Linked DNA regions of Oryzias latipes. The protein of the gene in region 1 interacts with the protein of each later gene in a biochemical or structural test. Links are inferred from orthologs where the notes say so. Each region holds a gene or a part of one and is shown in the gene's direction. Other genes may lie near its edges.

Region 1 (4,289 bases):
AGGCTTTGTTGACAATATTTGACATATGAAACATCTACATAGCAATATCTAATGTTGTTTTCATTGTATATATGTAATTGACTGCAATGAAAAACGGTAACGCTCAAACAAAAACGTATGGGGAAATGACAAAAAATCGAGTCTAGGTCTCAAAATCCTCGTACGAGGTAAATGTAATTCTCTACGAATTAATGCAGCCTCCTCGTCTATTGGGTCCTCCAAAAAAGGACAAGCCATTCTTGTCACTTGTCTCTGTGTGACGGACATTTGGGCAATGAAGGTTAAAGCGAAAAATATCGCTTCGTCTTTAAAAAGGGGAGGGGACCGGCAGAAACCTTGAGTTTAGAGAATAAAACCTGCTCCCCACCAGGTTAGGTTCACAGCGTAAGTAACCATGGACACTGACTCAGAGTATAAGTTACCTCTCTTTCAGAAACGGGTTTGACTTACTCTGCTTTCTCTGGTTTAACAAACCTCCCATTCTGAAACAGAAAACCCAGGGTTTCCCTGATTTCAGGGTTAACGCACTCAGAGTTTACACTTAACCTCCTTTCTGAAACAGGCCCCAGGTGGCACATTATCTATAATGTTTTCTTTAACCTATTGTGTCCTTTCTAATAGTTTTAGAAAGAAAACTCAATGTTATTTATTTAAAAAATAAACACATTTTCTTGCTAAGTTATAAGAATAAAATCATTTTAAAAAATTGAGAGTTTTTGAGAAAAAGCAAAGTCCAGAGTATGGCCAGAAGAGCAGCTGGATGACTACATTGGCTGCATGTAGGCCTGGTGCATGAGAAACCCGGGTTTGATTCCCATGGGGTGCAATGAGCTTCATCCAGTGTTAGGCTCCTGCCTAACTATGTAGCCAGAAAGTGTCGGTCCCGGCCTAAAGTAAATACAGGATTGTGTCAGGAAGGCCATTCAGTGTACATATCTCTGCCAAACCGACTGCAGATCAGTGAAAGCTGAAGGGATATGGTGAACAGCAACAACAGAGGATGAAGACGAGTGTAACAACGAGAGACAGCTTTCCAGGGAAACGATTAAGACTAAAACGACGGTGAAGATAAAAATGTTTAATACAAAACAAAAAGGAAGTAAAATTCTTTAAAAACTATTAAAAGCGGAAAAAATTAAAATTTAAAAAGAAAGGTTTTAAAAGGAAAAAAAGAAAGATTGAAATATGGAAGTCAACAAAGGGACGGTTTCAGAAACGAAAAAAGCTGCAAGCACTAAATCTAAAAACCAACGAACGAGAAAGGAAAAAAACTTTAGTGGGGAGACAGGAAGACTGATCCAGAATGTGTTTTCGTTCAGGCACGCAGACAGGAGACCTGTATGACGTCAGCGCGTCCAGCTACGTTCCCGCTCGTTGATTAGCTGTTTTGAACAGCGTCGAGCGCGCTGATTGGTGCGTTTTGAAGCCGAGTCCTGCGCTCAATTTTAAAGAGTGTCAGCTTTGTATCCGCAGCGTGAGCAGCGACAGCACGGAGGTAAGAAGCGGCAACCGTTAACGGCTTCAACCGGTAGATCACGACATGAAATGGTACCGCTTTGATATGAGGAGAGGCGCGTTGGCGGACGGACACGCGCCTTCCGGTAACGGCTCGGTTCGGTTTTCCCCCAACCTGGTTTTCAGATTTGGAGAGGCCTCAGCTGGCCGGTGAAAGTCGGTGGGGTTGGTTCGATTCCTACTGTTTTTATTCTGTCTCTGTAACGTCGAGCTGCTCGTTTTACGGTTTTCAGGCCTGAACGTTCAGCGGTTCTCAACGGAGGATCTGACCGTTTGGAGTCTGAACATCTGCAGAAGTCCGAGCTGAGAGGATTTGTCTTCTCTTTCAGGGACAGATGGAGGACTACGTGAAAATAGAGAAAATCGGAGAAGGTTGGTGGAGTAAAAATGTTTTTGTTTTTCTAAAATGTTGTCCAGATTTTTTTGGGGGGTGAAACCCACCAAAGAGGCCCACCTGGATGCTGAACTTGGAAGTCCTTGAAAGTTCCTCCACCCGTATATGGAGATGTCCCAGGATGACGTCTCAAGCTTTGCTTTGGTTCAGATCCTGGCTCTTCATTCTGATCATGGTCCCCTGCACCACAATCTGAGTGATGGGGTGACTGCAGTGGTTCTGGGACGTCTGAGTCCTCATCCCCTGACTCTGCTCTGGTGTCTGCAGGGACATACGGGGTGGTGTACAAAGGCCGGCACAAGTCCACGGGACAGGTGGTGGCCATGAAGAAGATCCGCCTGGAGAGTGAGGAGGAGGGAGTTCCCAGCACCGCTGTCAGGGAGGTGTCGCTGCTTCAGGAGCTGAAGCACCCCAACGTCGTCCGGTATGCTGCACGTGTGCGCTGAACAGGTTCCTGACATTAATGTCCATGCGCTGCAGGTAAAATGCAGTGAGGTGATGTCCGGGTCAAAGGTGCTGGGTTTTAGTCCCTCTTGTCTCATCTGAACGTTTGGGGATAATCCAGATGTTTGTTCTTGTTCAGCACTTCTTTCTCCTTGAACTCTCCTGTGGATCCATGATTGTTCAGAAGTCCCTTTCTGACTGTTGGATCATGAACTCTGACCTGAACACGTGCACACGTGTAATGGGAGGCCTCCACTTGCTTCCATGTTCTTTCCAGAGGGGTCCTGCTTGGGTTTTTAACTCTTTAGTCCTTCTGTAGGGATGTTCAGAGTAGCGTTAATGCCGAATCCCTCAACTCCCTCCGCTGATCTTGGAGGTGCAATAATGGTTCCACCTTTGTGTTCACCTGAAAGGCTCTTGGATGTCCTGATGCAGGAATCTCGCCTCTACCTGATCTTTGAGTTCCTGTCCATGGACCTGAAGAAGTACCTGGATAGCATCCCGTCAGGACAGTACATGGACCCCATGCTGGTCAAGGTAAAACACTCAGCGCTTCGTTTTTAGATTTCCTACTCTTTGTTGTGACAAACGCTTTCTATTAAGCTGAACATCCCGGTTTCAGCTGGGGGAGGGGGGTCTCTGAATGATAACACACCAGGTTCCTCACTAACCACGGACTGCAGCTCCAAACATCACAGATCTTCATCAGTTCTTCTGAGGCAGCCATGATGCTTTGTGCTGCTTGTCTGTGAGGATGTTCTGGTGTGGAACTAGCAGTCTACCACTTTGAGCCTGTTCCCTTTTCTGCCCCCCCCTACAGAGCTACCTCTATCAGATCCTTGAGGGCATTTACTTCTGTCACCGAAGGCGGGTCCTCCACCGCGACCTGAAGCCCCAGAACCTTCTGATTGATAACAAGGGCGTCATCAAACTGGCAGACTTTGGCTTGGCCCGGGCCTTCGGTGTTCCCGTCCGGGTCTACACCCACGAGGTGGGAACCGCTCCGCTGCAGAACCCAACGCTGAGGTCTGCTCAGCTGATCCAAGCTTCTCGTTCTCAGGTTGTGACTCTGTGGTATCGAGCTCCTGAGGTCCTTCTGGGTTCCCCCCGATATTCAACCCCAGTGGACGTGTGGAGCACGGGTACCATCTTTGCTGAACTCGCCACCAAGAAGCCCCTGTTCCACGGAGACTCCGAGATCGACCAGCTCTTCAGGATCTTTAGGTACCGTGTGGGAGAACTATTCAGCTTCTTTCAGCGCACACACACACACACACTGATTCTACAAGGAGAAATCAGGTCTTGAAGAGTAAAGGGGCTCTATTGTCCGTCTGCAGGACTCTGGGGACCCCCAACAATGACGTTTGGCCGGATGTGGAGAGCCTGCCTGACTACAAAAACACTTTCCCCAAATGGAAGGAGGGCAGCCTGTCCTCCATGGTGAAGAACCTGGACAAGAACGGCCTGGACCTGCTGGCGGTGAGAAGTTCTTCAGATTATGAATAAAGTAGATCAAGTGGACATTTCTCATGGGGTGGGGTCAGCTGCAATCTCTTCGGGGGCTCCAAAGAAAAGCACCAAACTAAGGAACATTTCAGTCTTTTTATTCTTTAATGATCTCAGAACACCCTCCACCACCACCGGGGGTCAGCAGAACCCTTCAAAACCAGACCTTTACTTTTGAACATCCAGTTCCTCCTCAGTAACCCTCCTTGTGTTTTTAGAAAATGTTGATCTACAATCCTCCCAAGAGGATCTCTGCACGTGAGGCCATGACCCACCCATACTTTGATGACCTGGACAAGTCCACGCTGCCCGCCGCCTGCATCAACGGCGTCTGAAGGCCTGAGCCCCCCCGTTCTTCTGTAAATACTTGTGTGTTTGTGTTGGAAATATTTTCCAGAAAAATGTGTGAATAAAGGTTTTCATCAAGTGT
Region 2 (3,268 bases), on another chromosome or scaffold:
ATAAAACCCCTACATGTTTCTTTTTGTTAATTTTTACAATCATTTTTGGAATTACATGCTTTCAAATTGATTTTTTTTTTTTTTTAATTTTAGTAAGAACACATCTTTTTGTGAGTGTTAGAGATGCTATTGGGTAAGACATCCGTCCATGGGGCCCTAATACGTTTCCCTAACAAAGTTAATTCAAGCAACACCCCTGAAAACGAGTACAAAATTCAAAATGTTTCTCTAGTGTTCAGTTTCAGGAAATGTTTATCTTTAAATGCTAAAAGTGTATTTTGCTCTCATGCATGGTTACCCTGCTCCGTAGGTAGTCTGCCAAGTTCTTCCGTGTGAAGTTTGCTGCTGCAGATGGACTCAGTTCGTAACCTTTAGGGGAGAAAAAGTTTCATCAATGACTTGTTCTGATCCCCTGATGAACCACAGACAGCTGCTCTGTGTAGTTTCCATCCTACCGTTCCTCATTTTGTAGAGCTGGACATTCTTCTGGATGTACTCAGCAAACTGCACCGTGTCTCCTGCTTCTCCCACGCACAACAGCAGGATCTTCTCGCTCAGTTTGAACATTTTATCATAATCTGGTGGATCAAAAAAAAAAACACCTTAGAACTTTCACTTTCACAGTTAGCCTGCATGAGGCTGCATAATCTGCTAATTTTAGAACAAAACCAATTATACAGAAAAACACCAAAAACTCAAATCGGGAGCAAAACTGCACCGATTTTTAAGCAAATATCCGCAAAAATAATTTAAATCGAACGCAGATTAGTTTCATTGGTTCGATTATTTGATATAGTGTGGCCAAGTATAAGAAACCAACAACAAATTAACTGTAAATTCGGAAATAAAAGCTTGATTTAACCAGATAAAATCTCAAAACGCTTTGAACTTTACCCCCCTAAATCTAAAATAAAAATCGGCGGAGCGGCTAATGCTACAGCTAACGACGAGCTACTTTACCGTGTTTCATTTGGATTATGCTGCTGGCGGCCACATTATCGGCGGCGACGAGAACAAAATCTGGTCCCTGGATTCCGATTAAATATTCCATCGTGAAAAACGCGAATAAACAAAAAAATGTAAGAATAATTCGAGGAAGCAGCCGCGGACAGCCGGGTCTGCTCAGAATATTACACAGCAAAAGTTCAGCTAGCTGCCTGTCGCATACTGGTGACGTCAAACCGCGCGACTTGGGCGGGCGATTTGAAACGCGGGAGTGTTTTTGTTGTGTGTCACCGAGCGGAGGGCGTCCGTCATCGGGGGAATTTTGAGGTTACAGCCAAGCTGTGTTGACCATGAAGGAAGGGGAGACTCACAGCGTGATGGTGGAGTCCAACCGACACATAGACCCGCCGCGGAGGCGTTCGCCGCGGCTAAGTTCTACCCTGCAACCGCCGGGGAAGATTGACACAAACATGGCCGCGCTGGAGGCCGTCCCGGTGAAACGGTCCATCACTCTAAGGAAAATAGCTCCGAGAAAAACCGTTACCTCCGCGGAGCAGGACAAGGAGAACACACCACGGCGAACGAGCAACAGACTAGGGCAGAAAAAAGAGGTGTCCACTCCTGACTTGGTCCCAGACCGCAGGGCCTCCGCCATCTCTTCGGCTAAGAAGAAGAAACAGGCCTCGATGCCGTCCCCGATCTTGCCTTCCTCCCCGCCGACCTCAAACCCCGCAGAAAAGCCGCCAGCGACCCCGGAGGACGCAGAATGGGCGCGAAAGGTGCGCCGCTCCTACAGCAGACTGAGCGACAAGTCCCTCCACAGCCCGGACTCTCGCGATACTTTGTTCGGCTTCCAGCATCTGCAGACACCGGAGGTGAACCGGGCGGCAGGGCAGTCCAGGAGCGCTCTGGAGCTTTCCTCCATTTCTGCCCTGAACTCTTTCACGTCTCTGCTCGATACCGACGCCGGCGGTGCGGCCGAACCGGACCCGAACATCCCTGGAGTGGCTGTGGTGAAGGAGAGGAAGAGGAGGCGGAAGAAGGTGGCGCCGATCGACGGCGTGGAGCTGGACGTTCTGGTCGCCCAGATGAACGCGGAGTTCCAGGAGGCGGAGGAGTTTGAGCTGGTGGTGGAGTAGAAACTGGCTCTACTCAAGCCCAGGGGAAGCTTCTCAAGGACTGTGATAAAAATAATTCAAGAAAATGTTAAAAATGTCCAGATATTTTTATTCCTTCACTTGGTGTGAAATAGTTTTTAAATACATTTTCAGTATCACATTTGCTAGTCGTTTGTAACTTCAGTTTTTTTGGTTTATTTAAACCGGACTTTATCCTTTGGCAGAATTTAAGTGCTAAAACCGTTTACTGAGGAGCATTTCCCCAAGAATTACGTTTGGAGCTAAAAGGCTTTTATTCTGAAATGAAGCTTGAAAGCTTTTATGCAAAAGTCTGGAGATAAAAAGCTTTGAGTCGTAAAATTGGTGCTGAACAGCTCTTACTTTGAAGTTTGAAGATAAAAAGCTTTTATTCTGACGATTGGACTTTAGAAACATTTATCCTAAAGGTTTTGACTGGAGACGCTTTTATTCTGCAGTTTGGATTCTCTTTTTTTTTTAACTTTCCCAAATGTTTTTAGAGAAAAATAAAGTACATGGCATCTGTAACCAGCACTTTTTCCTCTTTAATTTTGTTTTTTCTTTCTAGTTTAAGAGAAATCCATTTAAGGTTGTTTATATCTTATATGTGTCTTTTAAATACATTTCTTCTGTTCTGTGTATTTGAATAAAAGCAAACATCTTTTTTTAAACATACACTTTATTTTGTTTACCCTTATTTGTACAGTTAAAGAGTTTTAAATTATATTAAACAACAATTTTTTAGAACTTTGCAGTGAAATATCAACTAGCTGCAGAAGGAGATGACACAGGAAATATGAACAAATAAACTATAACATAGCTAAAGAATTCAACTGAAAAGCCTTGAATGGCCTTTCATCAGATCCTGTCTCAAACTGTTTTTGTGAAGCTCTGAAATTGATCAGTACTGTAAATATCCTACTCTATGTTTAATTTAACCTTATGGCAATCAGAGCGAGCATGAAAACCCGTTTTCTAACTGTACATATGACAAAAAAAAAACTTTGAATCCTTTCAATTAAAAAAACTGAGGGTGAAAGGTCAAAAGCAACTGTAACCCTATAACCAATCAAAATCGTTTTTTTGCATAATATCCAACTAAATTATACAGTTTTGCTTATAGCAGCAAAAGTCTAGAATCAGGACTTTTATTTCAAGCGAAAAAATAAAACCAAATGCATCAAATG
Region 3 (4,096 bases), on another chromosome or scaffold:
CCAGATGATGAAGTCTGGGTCTGGAAGAATGCTCTTCATGGCATACACAGAGGAATTGATCAGGTGCCATGGTGAGTCACAAACATAGTCTCCAAATCTACCGGCGCTCAAAGCAGGCCGTTTGCCGCTAGAGGCGCACACCAGCTCCGGTTGATCTGTCACTTCATAAGTTGGGTCCCAGTGCAAATCTGTGATATGCCAAAAGCTTCCTGGAAAAGATCAGCACATAGGCGAAGTAAGTAAATGTCACAAAATCATCTATAACACGCTGGTTACACAAGGCTCTACTTACCAGTGAGAGCAAGAGCTCCTTTGAAAAGCAGACAAGATAAGAAAAAGCTTGTTGCTGTCATGTTTGAGTGTCTGAGAACAGCTGTGCTGGAAAAGACAGGCAAGGGTCTATAAAGGAAGGGCAGAGCGGGCCAACACAACCTTCTTACCAAGGCACTGACATGCTTGTGTGGATCATAATAACTAAACCTTGTTTTATGACACAATATTATTAGTTTTTACGAGAACGCTTAAGATAAGAAGCACTTTTGACAGATTAAATCATTACAAAATAGCTCTCTTTGTCCATCAGAAACTACAAAATGACACTTTTATCATTTGATTCTCCATGGCAAGTCAGAACTAAAGCTTTCAACAGAAAATTGTTTTTCTTCAAATTAAATAAAAGTTTAGAAGTTCATACTAATACAGGGTGTTACTGATTAGCCTATGTTTATTGAGCTGCGGATTTGGAGGCTGAGAAAAATATTACACAATCCTATCACCTTTACTGTTGTTATTTAAACTAAAGACACACAAAAGCAAAAGGCTACCTTAAAAAGCAATTCAAATTTTAGACCATACGATCACACACAAAATACCTTTCACGTTTTATTTTTTTATATTTGTAATTTTTGAGATTTTGATAAGTTATAGTATTTACGCATGCACCAGTGCTCATTACAACTAGAAAACCTTTTTTTTTAAATTGAAAGGAACAAAGATCATCATGTTCCACCTCTTTGCGATAGCGTCATAATTTGCTTGTTATTTCCCGAAATATTTCTATCAGGTGTAGATTTTCTTAGTAAACAAGGATTATTAGATCTTTTAAAATAATACAATCATTATGAAATAAAAACAATGTTAGAGTTTAAGAAAAAAACGGTGGAAATTCCCCATTAATTGGAATGTTTACTCCAAAACCGTGGCAAATGCCTGACAGTCAAAAATCAGGGCCAGTACATTATCTATATACCTCTCGCGATGAAACGTTTCGCGGGAATTATCCCACGCGCATGCGTCTTACATTGAGTTTGGCGCGCGGGAATCAGGTCGTTAAGCAAGTTGGTTGCTCGATTTCACCCCGTCACTAAATTATCTTTGCATTTTAAGAATTACTTACGAAGTGTCAGCATGTGGAATCAAGGTAAATGTCGTATCCAAGTTGTTTGTTTGCCTTTACATCGTTCACACTGGCATGTTTGTGTTGTTTGGTACAGCTAACGTTAGCTTTACTTAACACTCAAGTCAAGTGGCTTCTTTGTTTATTTCTTACAAGTGTAATAGTTTGTTGTCAAATGTGTCTTCCATTAACATTGTAAATATGCCGAAAAGGGAGTTTGCTTCACTTGCTTTCAATTTCTGTGTTGAAACTTTAGGAGGCTACAGTGAGTCGGGAATGGTTGGGGGTTACACGCAGTCTCCTGGAGGCTTTGCATCGCCTGGCTTGTCCCAAGGAGAGAAGAAAGGGGTGAGAAATGACAATGCCGACAGAGTGATGGTGCCTTTCAAAACTTACACCGGTAGTTAAAAGTGATCCATATTAAAGCTTGAACATCTTTAATTCCACATTGTCCCTTTGACCTAACATAAACCGTTTTTATATTATTATTGCACTTGTCTTGTATGCTTGAGTGTTGTTTTAAGCACATAACGGTAACGCTAGTAAAAACTGAAATCCTTCTGTCTGTTTGTTCATCACCAGAGGACCCGTTCCACTCAAATTATACCCTGCACAGTGTCTCAGTTGATGTCTGCATCTCAGGCTGATGAAGCCTTTAAAGTGGGAGAAGTGGAGGTTAACCAGGTAACCTAAAATGCAAAAGAGTATGTCTACTGTAAAGTATTAGATATCATATAATTTTGATTTTACTCTCTCTCTTTAAAAAGATAAAAAAAACACAGACCTATGTATATATTTAATAACGATGGAAGGGAAGGGGACCAAGTCACAGTAAAACAAAGTCTCAATAATTACGGTAATAATTAGTTAATTGGAGCTAAAAAAAAAATCAATGAGTCCAAAAATAATGCCTTATCAATTGGGAAATAATAGATTTAGCTTTTTTCCTAATATATTTGTAAGCTTTTTGTTGGAAACAAAAGCATCAGTAAGTTATGGACTTTTACCTTTCTTTGCTATGTGGCAGATCTTTACAAAAAACACAATAATAATGATAAAATAAAATAGAAAATCTGGAACAAGTAATCTTTTGTTTGGCAAGCTGTTTGACATTTATTGAGCAAATATGCATCAAAGTACTTCCATCTTAAATTACCTTAACTTAGCATCTACATGAAAGCAAAAACATGAATGATTTATTTCATAGCTAGAAGTAAAGTCAGGCATCATAGGGTTAAAGAATGTTTTTTTTTTTTATTAATTAATTTTTTTAAATTAATATTTAACAATATTTTATAACCACGATTGTAAAACTTCAACGTATTCTGCTACACACATGTAGAACTTCTCCTTTCGACTGGTGTTTAAATAATTGATCCAAACTTAAGTCTTGGAAGCAGCAGTAAAATATCTGTTCGGAACAAGAGAGACCAACTCCAGATCCTTTATTTTGAAAAATCAAGACAGGTTTCTGTCTTAAATTTAGTGTTTACTAATGCATAACACTTGGCAACAAACAAACAAAAAACAACAAAAATGTACTTTCATATTGTTTTTATTGCCTTTTTACACATCTCTGTCATAGGTCACCATTGTTGGCATCATCAGAAGCACGGACAAATCCATGACCTACATCCAGTACAGGGTTGATGACATGACAGGTGCTCCTATGGATGTGAAGCAGTGGGTGGATACAGAGGTCAGTTGGTGACAACCCCTTGCTAAATATGATTCATAAGAGACACAGTCTGCAGACCATTGTTGTTTATAAACAACATTTGATCAAATCTACATCTTTATTATCATTGTTGATGCTGTCATTGCTGGTTTCATTAAAATATATATTTTAACATTTATTTCAGTTAACTTCCGGTTTCTAGAAAATAATTTCTCTGATTGGGTTTTATTTTGTAGGATCCGAGTGTGGACAGCACTGTTTTGCCTCCAGGAACATATGTCAAAGTCTCTGGAAACCTACGCTCTTTTCAAGTAAGTGTATTACAGGGCCTGCCAACTTTTATTTTTATCTTATTTTCTTCATGCGGCCCTAACACTGTAAACAAAGGGCCACGCTTTAGGGCCACACAAATTGGAAACTTTTGTCTTTTATCAGTTATTGCATGAATTAACTTAAAAAATGGTTGTCACTGATTTGCCAGTTCTTTATTTAGCTAAAAGGTGCTTTCGTCCCAAAAAATGAAGGTTTAGGCTTTTGTCACCTCTTTCCTGAGCTAAGTGTAGGTTCTTACAGCAGCTGCAAACTTTTTTTAAAGAGCCTCATTTCCTTAGTTTAACACCTATAGCCTCCAAACTTGTTAAAGAGCTTTATTTGCTTTTTTAAACACCTATAACCTGTCTTAAGGTCATTTGTGATTGTTCATTGCTGCTGTTTCAGTTACTCATTTTTGAATTTAGCAGAAAATGTGTGTTTGCCTTCCTGTGTCAGAACCACAGGTCTATGGTGGCGTTCTGTATCAGACCCCTGGAGGACATGAATGAAATCACCTCACACATGCTGGAAGTTGTCCAAGCACACATGGCGCTCGGCAAACCGCAGAACACCGTAAGTAATTGAAACTTTTACTTCTGCAGTTCTCATCTCAAGTGAAAACCTCTGAGAATGAGGAACTGAATGTTGATGCGTGCGACCCAGAGAGTTTCGAGGTTTTCTCGTTGAATCCAGTAAAGAGAAAATCGACG
Region 4 (4,142 bases), on another chromosome or scaffold:
TTTCTGACAAAAACACGAACCAAACATTTGTGCCAAGACAAAATAAAGGTGAGTTTTGCTGCAGAGTTCTGCGTTTGTTGTTCCTCACAGTGACAGAGTACAGATGACGTCTCACACGAGCAGTGACAAAGACTACGTCTGACCGCTGGTGCTCACCTCCACCTGTTTTTGAAGCTGTGCTGCTTGCTGCGCCGTCCTGCCGTCTCTGTACTGCTGGATAGCCAGCAGCAGAGACTTCAAACACGTCGTTGTGTCCATCTTGGGGGACTGTTATGACAAGTGCTAACGCCCGCTAGCAAGTTAGCTCAACGGCAAACACTAGTCGCGGGACAACCAATTTTCTTGCTGTGATTTGAAAAAAACAAACAAACAAATCCCGCTAACTTATTTTAGCACATTTATAGCTGTTCAGCCACTTCACTTTTCTACCATTCATTAATATCAACTAAAGCAAAGCGACGTCCTCCCGCTTCCAGGTTCGAACGAAGAAGGAATGAACCATGTCCAAAAAAGGTTGTTCGGGAAAGCTTTTTTTAACTGACTGGATGAACATCAAATTGCCTTCTAAATTAGTCTGTAGTATATTTTTTATTGAAAGTGGTGTTTTATATAAGGCCCATTAAATCGTCACCATTAAGTTTTCTATATAAACAAACAAACAAAAATTCTAAAAATCCCCCCTCCCCAATTTTATGGATATCACCCGAAGTGATGACGCAACAAGACAGGTAACCAATCACCGTCGTAGAGACATACACACATACAGACACACGCACGCACACACTCAAAAAGTAACAAAATATATTTTTTGTTAAATATGTAAAAAAAATATTTATCAAATGTTTTTTAACTTTTTTGTTACAAATTTTGCAAACTCACAAAGAGAATTCTGAAGTTAACCAATTAAGACATGAAGGAAAAAAAATTGAAAATGACTGAAAAAAATATTTTTCATACTTTTGGACATGAAAACAGCATAAACAATTTCATATTATTTTAGGATTGCTCCTAAATTAATTTAAATGTTAAATGATTAATCAATAATATTTATTATACAAATGTTTTATTGAAAACTTGTATTATAAATCTGTTGTGCTGTTTGTGCTAAACGTTTGTGCTTTATGTAACTGTTGTTTTATATTTTATTTCGTCAACAATTTGGAGAACAAAGAAAACCGGCGCACATGTCCCCACCGCAGGGCCCCAGCGATTCTCTGATTCTTATTGGTTATCAGTGTCGGGCCAGCTGACCTATCGTAAAAGGAGACACTGAAACGTCTAGGATAGACTTCTTTGATTGGTGCAAAGGGTTGGCGCCTCTTGAATCGATGCAAGCAAAGCGGGCGGAAAGAGAGACAGACAGGGAGCAGTTTGAACCGTGTTTGAGTGCAGGCGGAAATATAAAAATAACATCGTTGTTGTCAGGAGACAGATAATGTAACTGCTGGAAACTCAAATGAAAAAAAAAATATATAAAAACGGAATATTTAATTTAGATTCAAACGTAAAGTAAACGTTGTTTTTACCAAATTCGGTGACGTGAAGCCGGTTCTGGCGCTAAGTAAACCGCTCCGTCCCGCCTAGCTAACCGCTAGTTAGCCTACAAGCTAACATTACAGCTAGCAGTGACACGGAGCGGCTAATCTCCAACACAAAGGACGACTTTGCGTATCTCTACCGTTGCCATTCCGAATCTCTCCGTTGAATGAGGACTGAGCCTCCTGTACAGGTGAGGGCGGTTGTCACTGTGTCGAAATACAGCCCTTCCCTAGATCGGCCGAGTTTGTTCTCGGTTTGTGGATCTCCCCGTCTCTTTGTTAACCACCCGACTCGCTAGCTGAGCTCGCCAGGCTGTCGTGCCACATTTTGTATGGCTGTCAAAGAATAGACAGCTCCACTTACATCAGTTTTGTCATTTCTGATGAAGAAAAGTGCTGAAACATTTGCTCCCGGTGTTCTGAATTGATGAGTGTTCAAATGTAGGGAAACATGTCTATTTTTAACTTGAGTTACCGAGCTGTGCGGGCAGAGAAGCACGTTTTACGGAGCTAAACCGAAAGCCGGCTGATAAATGTGTTTCAAGAACCACTTGAGTCGTTTAGCAAGTTTCTTTTGTACAGAGGACAGGGTTACACACTTCAGCGACACAATGAAAATGTGGACAAACACCTGCTCGAAAGGATGCACGAACATTTCTATAATTTGACAACCAGTTTGTGTAATTCTTCCTGGTGGTGGCGATACTCATCTCATTTTATGAAGATGAGGATTGTCTTCAGGAAGTCATGAAAAGCTGTAGAGGATGTTGTGTGATCACCTAGTCTGTGCACCGACAATGAATAAAAAGAACACAGACCACACACACCTCACAACCTTTCAAGTTTAAAGTTCAGTTTTGTGAAATTGTTGATTAAACCTTTGATCATTTGAAACACCCACTCCATTGAAAAAGGTGTTTTTGGTGCTTTGAACATGTTCTTGTTGCATTTTCCTCACGAAGGAGGATAATTTAAACACAATTAACCATAAAACTGCACTTCTGAGTGTTTCTTCATTTAAATAGTTGTGTATCAGGTGCCGATGAGAAATGTCATTGGAAAAAGCTTGTAGGTGTGACATAGGTGCTACAGTAGGCAGGCCAAAGGCTTCCTGCTCCGCTCCATTCTGATGCATCCACCGTCAGATAGATAGATCCATGAACGTCTTTGTTTTCCTCGTCTGGGCTGACATCTGGATCTAAGCTGTACAGCTGGATAGCTCCAATGTTGCTTGCCATTTTTGTTGCACCGGTAATGTTAGTTTGGGGTTATGAGGGGCTGTAAGCTAACAGGCGACAGTAAACAGATGGATGATGGGAAGGCTTATTCCACACCAACAGTCCCGGCCACAACTTAAGAGCTGAATTTCTAAAAAAAAACTGCCGCTCTGCAGAAACTGTCCTAGAAAATGACTCGGGCATTTTGATTTTGGCAAAAAAAAATGAAAATAACCCATCATATTCATGACTAAAAGACCACTGGAAAGGCTTTGACAATCCATCAAAACAATAAAAGGCCTTTTTTTTTAAAGTGGGACTTAAAAATCTGCCTTTTTGTTTGGATAAAGTGTTGGTGAATACCAGGTTTATTGTTTTATTTCCAGGTTTTCGCCTTTTCCTTTTGATCAGAAAGTGCAAGTCTTTTTATTTCAGTTATGCCAACGTGTCATGGCGCTGCTGTTTGATGACAGGTGTCTGACACATCCGAGCTCTAGTGTGAGGTTTGAATCTGATTCACCGATCTGGCAGTAACTGCAGGGGCGGCAGATTGATCTCTATGCAAATGTTAAGACAAGATAAAGAGAAAACCATGAAAATCACCATAAACATTATTTTGACGAGTTAAAAACATTTAATTTACACCTCTGTCTTGTAGATCTTCCTTATTAAGAAACAGTAAGCAGAGAATAAACATTTAGAAAACTTGTAAATAAGCCTTTTATCTTCTTTGAGTGAAATCCTATGAGCTGGAATAGACTAGTTTTATTTTTTATTCTCAGGATTACAGTTGGGACGAAAAGAATCAGACAAAGCTGAAACTCGCAAGAATTTTAGCGAACGTCACCTCGCTATTTGACTTTGACCCTTCCTGCCTGAAAAGCTGATGGGATTAAATCTACACAGATTTTGTGTGTACTGTTGCAGGACTGTGTGTGGCTGCAGGCTGATCATGGGGACGGGGAAACGCTCAGACAAGGGTCCTGCCTGCTGGAAGAGGAGGGTAAAGTCTGAATACATGAGGCTTCGGCAGATGAAACGCTTTAGACGGGCAGACGAGGTCAAGGTTTGTACTCAAAGGTCTTCTTCATTTTGAAGCGGTCTTTATATTCATGTTAACACTGTTTCACGTTGATTATTTTTCTTCATTTTGTTGAAAAAATCTGTTATTCAAAAGTCCTGCAATAAAACTTTCGAGTTGAACAGTAATTAAAAATAATATTACTATCCAGATGGAGGGCGTTGGTGATCAGCATCTGACCTGCAGCTGGAAAATTGTAATGTTTTATTTAAATTATTTATATTTTGAATCATTGTGTGCGTTTCTAGATGAGTTTCAGACGCCTCAGTAGAGACGGCAAACAATTCTGTCTTATTGAATGATGTT
Region 5 (3,265 bases), on another chromosome or scaffold:
AAAAAGCCTTCCTCCTCCTCCTCACTCGTTCACTAACTCATCCTTTCATCCTCACTCTCTCTGCCACCCAGTCATCACGCGCCAACAAAGCAAAGCGCGCTCACTTTGAGAGAAAAGCATGTTTACCTTCGCACGTGCAACAACTTTGGCATTAATCTGTAGCTGCAATCTGCAACTGCTTTGAGAATGAACGTGGATTCATTTCTCTGAATACTTTACAGCTGAGAAGTGTCCTCCAACACCCCCCTCCCTCCCTACGTGGCACTGATGGGGTGTTAAAGCATTCAATTGGGTTAATCAACCTAAATAATGCCAATTAACTCGGATGACCACGATGGAGAAGAGGAGAAAGCTACTAACTCCAACTGCCCTGACTTTCTCCTTAGAATCAAAATGGCGTTGCAGGGAGGGACAACAGAGCAGACACAAAAATAAGAAATAATCTAATACAATCTACATAAAGTTAGTGTTTTGGGGGCATATTTTCTTGCATTAATGTAGGAAAAGCTAAATGTTTTCTTATTAGGAATACGCAAACGCCAGCTGTTGACTGGGATCTGATGCGCCAGGTCCTGAACAAAAGAAAGCCACCTCTGCTCCTTAGAATAACAGCGCGTGCGTTCGGCTGCAGACCCCACCGAGGCTGGACTCAAAGCAGACCCTTCACTTATCTTTGACCCCAATTCAGAACAATGTGATCAATTTAACGACCCGTCATCAGATTCCTTCAGCTCTGGAGGTGTTGGCAACTTTCCTGACAACAATGGAGCTCGAGAGGCGACTGCCATAGTGATAGTTATAAGCAATTCGGCACTAAAATAAGCAAACCCAGAAAACCCAACCCGCGTTTTACCTCCTAAACTAACCCGCGTGACAGCCCCAACAGTCACCTGCGACTTGCATGTTGTGACATTTAATTTATAGGAGGTTTAACAGTAAATAATCTCGACCACGTCACTCGAAGTCAATGGCCGGACTGTGTTAGTTGGGAAAATGTAACGCTGTATTAAAAGGAAAAACGGACTCTCACGCGGACCAAACCGCGCGCATCAGTGGGAATAAAGATTCAATTTCCATGTGCATTGAACATCCCCCCCTCAGGTTCCGTCCGTTTGGGTCAATTTGACGCGAATCAGGCAAAATTGTCGGCAGCACGCGCTACTTGGGGCTGGTTTTCCCGGAATAAAAGTTGTTCTGCGGCTCTAGTGCGGGGAAACAAGTTAGTGCGCGTGAAGCCCAATGTCTCCGCCGCGTGCCCGTGCGGTTCTGTGGATCAGAACTCCTCCGGGGTTTGTACATTTGACGGGAGTTGGAGGATGAAGAAACACAAACAAGACTGCGCCAGTTCCATGGAGTCCGCTAGATCAGCTGCTGGCAGTTGGTGTTCTCAATCACGTCCGCAGCGAGGCTTCATATTCTCTCTGGAGCGCCGGTGGAACAAGAGACTTTAGAGAAACGGGCTGAAGGGGTGTGCCTCTCTACAACTATATCTATTTTTTGCTACCTAAACCTAAAATAATTGAACGCCTGGCACTTTCCACAACTTTGTTTTAACCGAAAATTTCATTTTTTTTTATTTGAAATATTTTTGTCGCTCTTTTCCAACCGGGTTAAATCCCACCTTGTGGACTTTTTTTGTGTGATTTAACTTAAAGGATAAACACAATGGCGGAGACGTCAAGTGCTCCATCTAAAGCCAAAAAGACAGCCAAGGCTAAAAAGCCCGCTTCTCATCCCAAATACTCGGACATGATCAAAGCGGCTATTGTCCACGACGCGAGCCGGAGCGGAGCGTCCCGCCAGTCCATCCAGAAGTACGTGAGGAAGAACTACAAAGTGGGCGACAACGCCGACGTCCAGATCAAAATGGCCCTAAAACGGCTGGTGGCTTCTGGGATGCTGCGCCACACCAAAGGTATCGGAGCGTCCGGCTCCTTCCGGCTGACCAAACCGGAGGACGCCAAAAAGTCCAGCAGCAAGGCAGCTGCGCCCGCCAAACCCAAGAAAGTAGCAAAACCCAAGGCGGCCAAGAAGGCGGCCAAGCCCAAGAAGGTGTCCAAGACCCCGGAGAAGCCCAAGAAGGCACCTGCGAAGAAAGTCAAAAAGGTTGCCAAGAAGGCGTCTCCGGTGAAAGCGAAGAAAGCTCCGGCGAAGAAGCCCAAGGCAGCCAAAGCCAAGGCAAAGCCAGCGAAGAAAGCAGCCAAACCCAAGGCAAAGACACCCAAGAAGGCAGCAAAGACGTCCAAAAAGAAGTAGACGGACAATACAGCCGGCGATGTAAATATTTAAGGAAATGTTTTCGTAAATGTCTTATTTTTGTAAGGTTTCATTCAGACACAAGGTGTTTTTAACCTGTTTTTATTATAGCATTCAGAAGCTGTAGAAATTGTGAGCATTTCTATTTTTTATTTGAACATCGTCCATTTCCGCCTGATCCTTAAACTATTTCCACGGGGGGTCTTGCTGAAATCACGCGTTTGTACAGCTGAGGTAATGACTGTTGTCAGTATACTTTAACAAAAAAACTTAATGTTTTAACGGTGACAAGGTGAAGATGAGTTCCATGAAGGCACCACAGCTCTTATTTTACCCAGTTATATTTGTCTTGAAGAATCATATTGTGTTTAGCGACAGACTGTTCATAAACGCATCCAATAAACCTTTGTCACATTTTGAAAGTGCTTTAACTTATTGTGCACTTAAAAACACTGTATATACAAAGGGAAAATAAAAGTGACTCTTCAAACATTCAACTAAAGTGATGCGTTCACGTGCCACCAAAAGATTTTGTTGACTTTAGTGTCGTTTTCGACACACCCATGGGTCTGCCCTCCTCAACCGGCGAACACTGCCATCTTGTGGTAAGTTGGAGCAACAGCAAGATCGTCGTTAATGTGGAGTAACATAGTAAAAACACAAACATTCCTATTATTTAGGGTACATATGAACCAGCCCTATTAAATAAGGAATGGTTAAGCTCATCCAAACAGGATTCTTGCAGTTTTAGATGCCACTAATACATTTTTAAACAAATATTCAGGATAAATGTGATCACAGATTAATTACCAATAAAAAGATTTCTCTGCCTTTAACATCAAATACTAGACATATGTTTCAAATTAACTGTTTAGTCACAAACATGTAAATCATAGAATTCATTTTATTTTGCTCTGGTGTAGTCTTTTATTAAGCATCTGGTCACTTTCATTGAGAAAAGTTTTTAAAAGGTCTCACAGAGAATTTCTTTTTACACAAACATGAGGCC

Evidence for each region. The genes of interacting proteins can lie anywhere in the genome.
Region 2: of the proteins of cdk1 (region 1) and cdca5, one has a biochemical effect on the other in vitro, tested with the Homo sapiens proteins (2 studies listed by BioGRID). The link is inferred for Oryzias latipes from reciprocal best matches to the Homo sapiens genes CDK1 and CDCA5.
Region 3: of the proteins of cdk1 (region 1) and rpa2, one has a biochemical effect on the other in vitro, tested with the Homo sapiens proteins (2 studies listed by BioGRID). The link is inferred for Oryzias latipes from reciprocal best matches to the Homo sapiens genes CDK1 and RPA2.
Region 4: of the proteins of cdk1 (region 1) and ezh2, one has a biochemical effect on the other in vitro, tested with the Homo sapiens proteins (5 studies listed by BioGRID). The link is inferred for Oryzias latipes from reciprocal best matches to the Homo sapiens genes CDK1 and EZH2.
Region 5: of the proteins of cdk1 (region 1) and histone H1.0-B, one has a biochemical effect on the other in vitro, tested with the Homo sapiens proteins (3 studies listed by BioGRID). The link is inferred for Oryzias latipes from reciprocal best matches to the Homo sapiens genes CDK1 and H1-0.

What each region holds. Positions count from the first base shown.
Region 1 is NC_019873.2:1,586,358-1,590,646, forward strand, and holds the start of cdk1 (cyclin-dependent kinase 1), read left to right. Parts: upstream 1-1,487; 5' UTR 1,488-1,495; intron 1,496-1,535; exon of another isoform or gene 1,536-1,680; intron 1,681-1,844; 5' UTR 1,845-1,850; coding exon 1,851-1,887; intron 1,888-2,176; coding exon 2,177-2,333; intron 2,334-2,766; coding exon 2,767-2,890; intron 2,891-3,173; coding exon 3,174-3,344; intron 3,345-3,413; coding exon 3,414-3,577; intron 3,578-3,690; coding exon 3,691-3,832; intron 3,833-3,936; exon of another isoform or gene 3,937-4,077; coding exon 4,078-4,194; 3' UTR 4,195-4,289. UniProt on the Homo sapiens protein: Plays a key role in the control of the eukaryotic cell cycle by modulating the centrosome cycle as well as mitotic onset; promotes G2-M transition via association with multiple interphase cyclins.
Region 2 is NC_019869.2:20,009,702-20,012,969, forward strand, and holds cdca5 (sororin), read left to right. Parts: upstream 1-1,176; 5' UTR 1,177-1,295; coding exon 1,296-2,084; 3' UTR 2,085-2,756; downstream 2,757-3,268. Other genes in the region: psmb2 (proteasome subunit beta type-2), read right to left, coding at 299-369, 456-578, 961-1,051. UniProt on the Homo sapiens protein: Regulator of sister chromatid cohesion in mitosis stabilizing cohesin complex association with chromatin. May antagonize the action of WAPL which stimulates cohesin dissociation from chromatin.
Region 3 is NC_019874.2:22,815,083-22,819,178, reverse strand, and holds the start of rpa2 (replication protein A 32 kDa subunit), read left to right. Parts: upstream 1-1,284; 5' UTR 1,285-1,407; coding exon 1,408-1,420; intron 1,421-1,652; coding exon 1,653-1,744; intron 1,745-1,978; coding exon 1,979-2,080; intron 2,081-2,981; coding exon 2,982-3,095; intron 3,096-3,310; coding exon 3,311-3,385; intron 3,386-3,842; coding exon 3,843-3,959; intron 3,960-4,096. Other genes in the region: smpdl3b (acid sphingomyelinase-like phosphodiesterase 3b), read right to left, coding at 1-209, 293-353. UniProt on the Homo sapiens protein: As part of the heterotrimeric replication protein A complex (RPA/RP-A), binds and stabilizes single-stranded DNA intermediates that form during DNA replication or upon DNA stress.
Region 4 is NC_019878.2:3,254,708-3,258,849, reverse strand, and holds the start of ezh2 (histone-lysine N-methyltransferase EZH2), read left to right. Parts: upstream 1-1,330; 5' UTR 1,331-1,729; intron 1,730-3,682; 5' UTR 3,683-3,707; coding exon 3,708-3,821; intron 3,822-3,987; coding exon 3,988-4,032; intron 4,033-4,142. Other genes in the region: protein CIP2A, read right to left, coding at 157-258. UniProt on the Homo sapiens protein: Polycomb group (PcG) protein. Catalytic subunit of the PRC2/EED-EZH2 complex, which methylates 'Lys-9' (H3K9me) and 'Lys-27' (H3K27me) of histone H3, leading to transcriptional repression of the affected target gene.
Region 5 is NC_019877.2:9,185,237-9,188,501, reverse strand, and holds histone H1.0-B, read left to right. Parts: upstream 1-1,423; 5' UTR 1,424-1,665; coding exon 1,666-2,256; 3' UTR 2,257-2,753; downstream 2,754-3,265. UniProt on the Homo sapiens protein: Histones H1 are necessary for the condensation of nucleosome chains into higher-order structures. The histones H1.0 are found in cells that are in terminal stages of differentiation or that have low rates of cell division.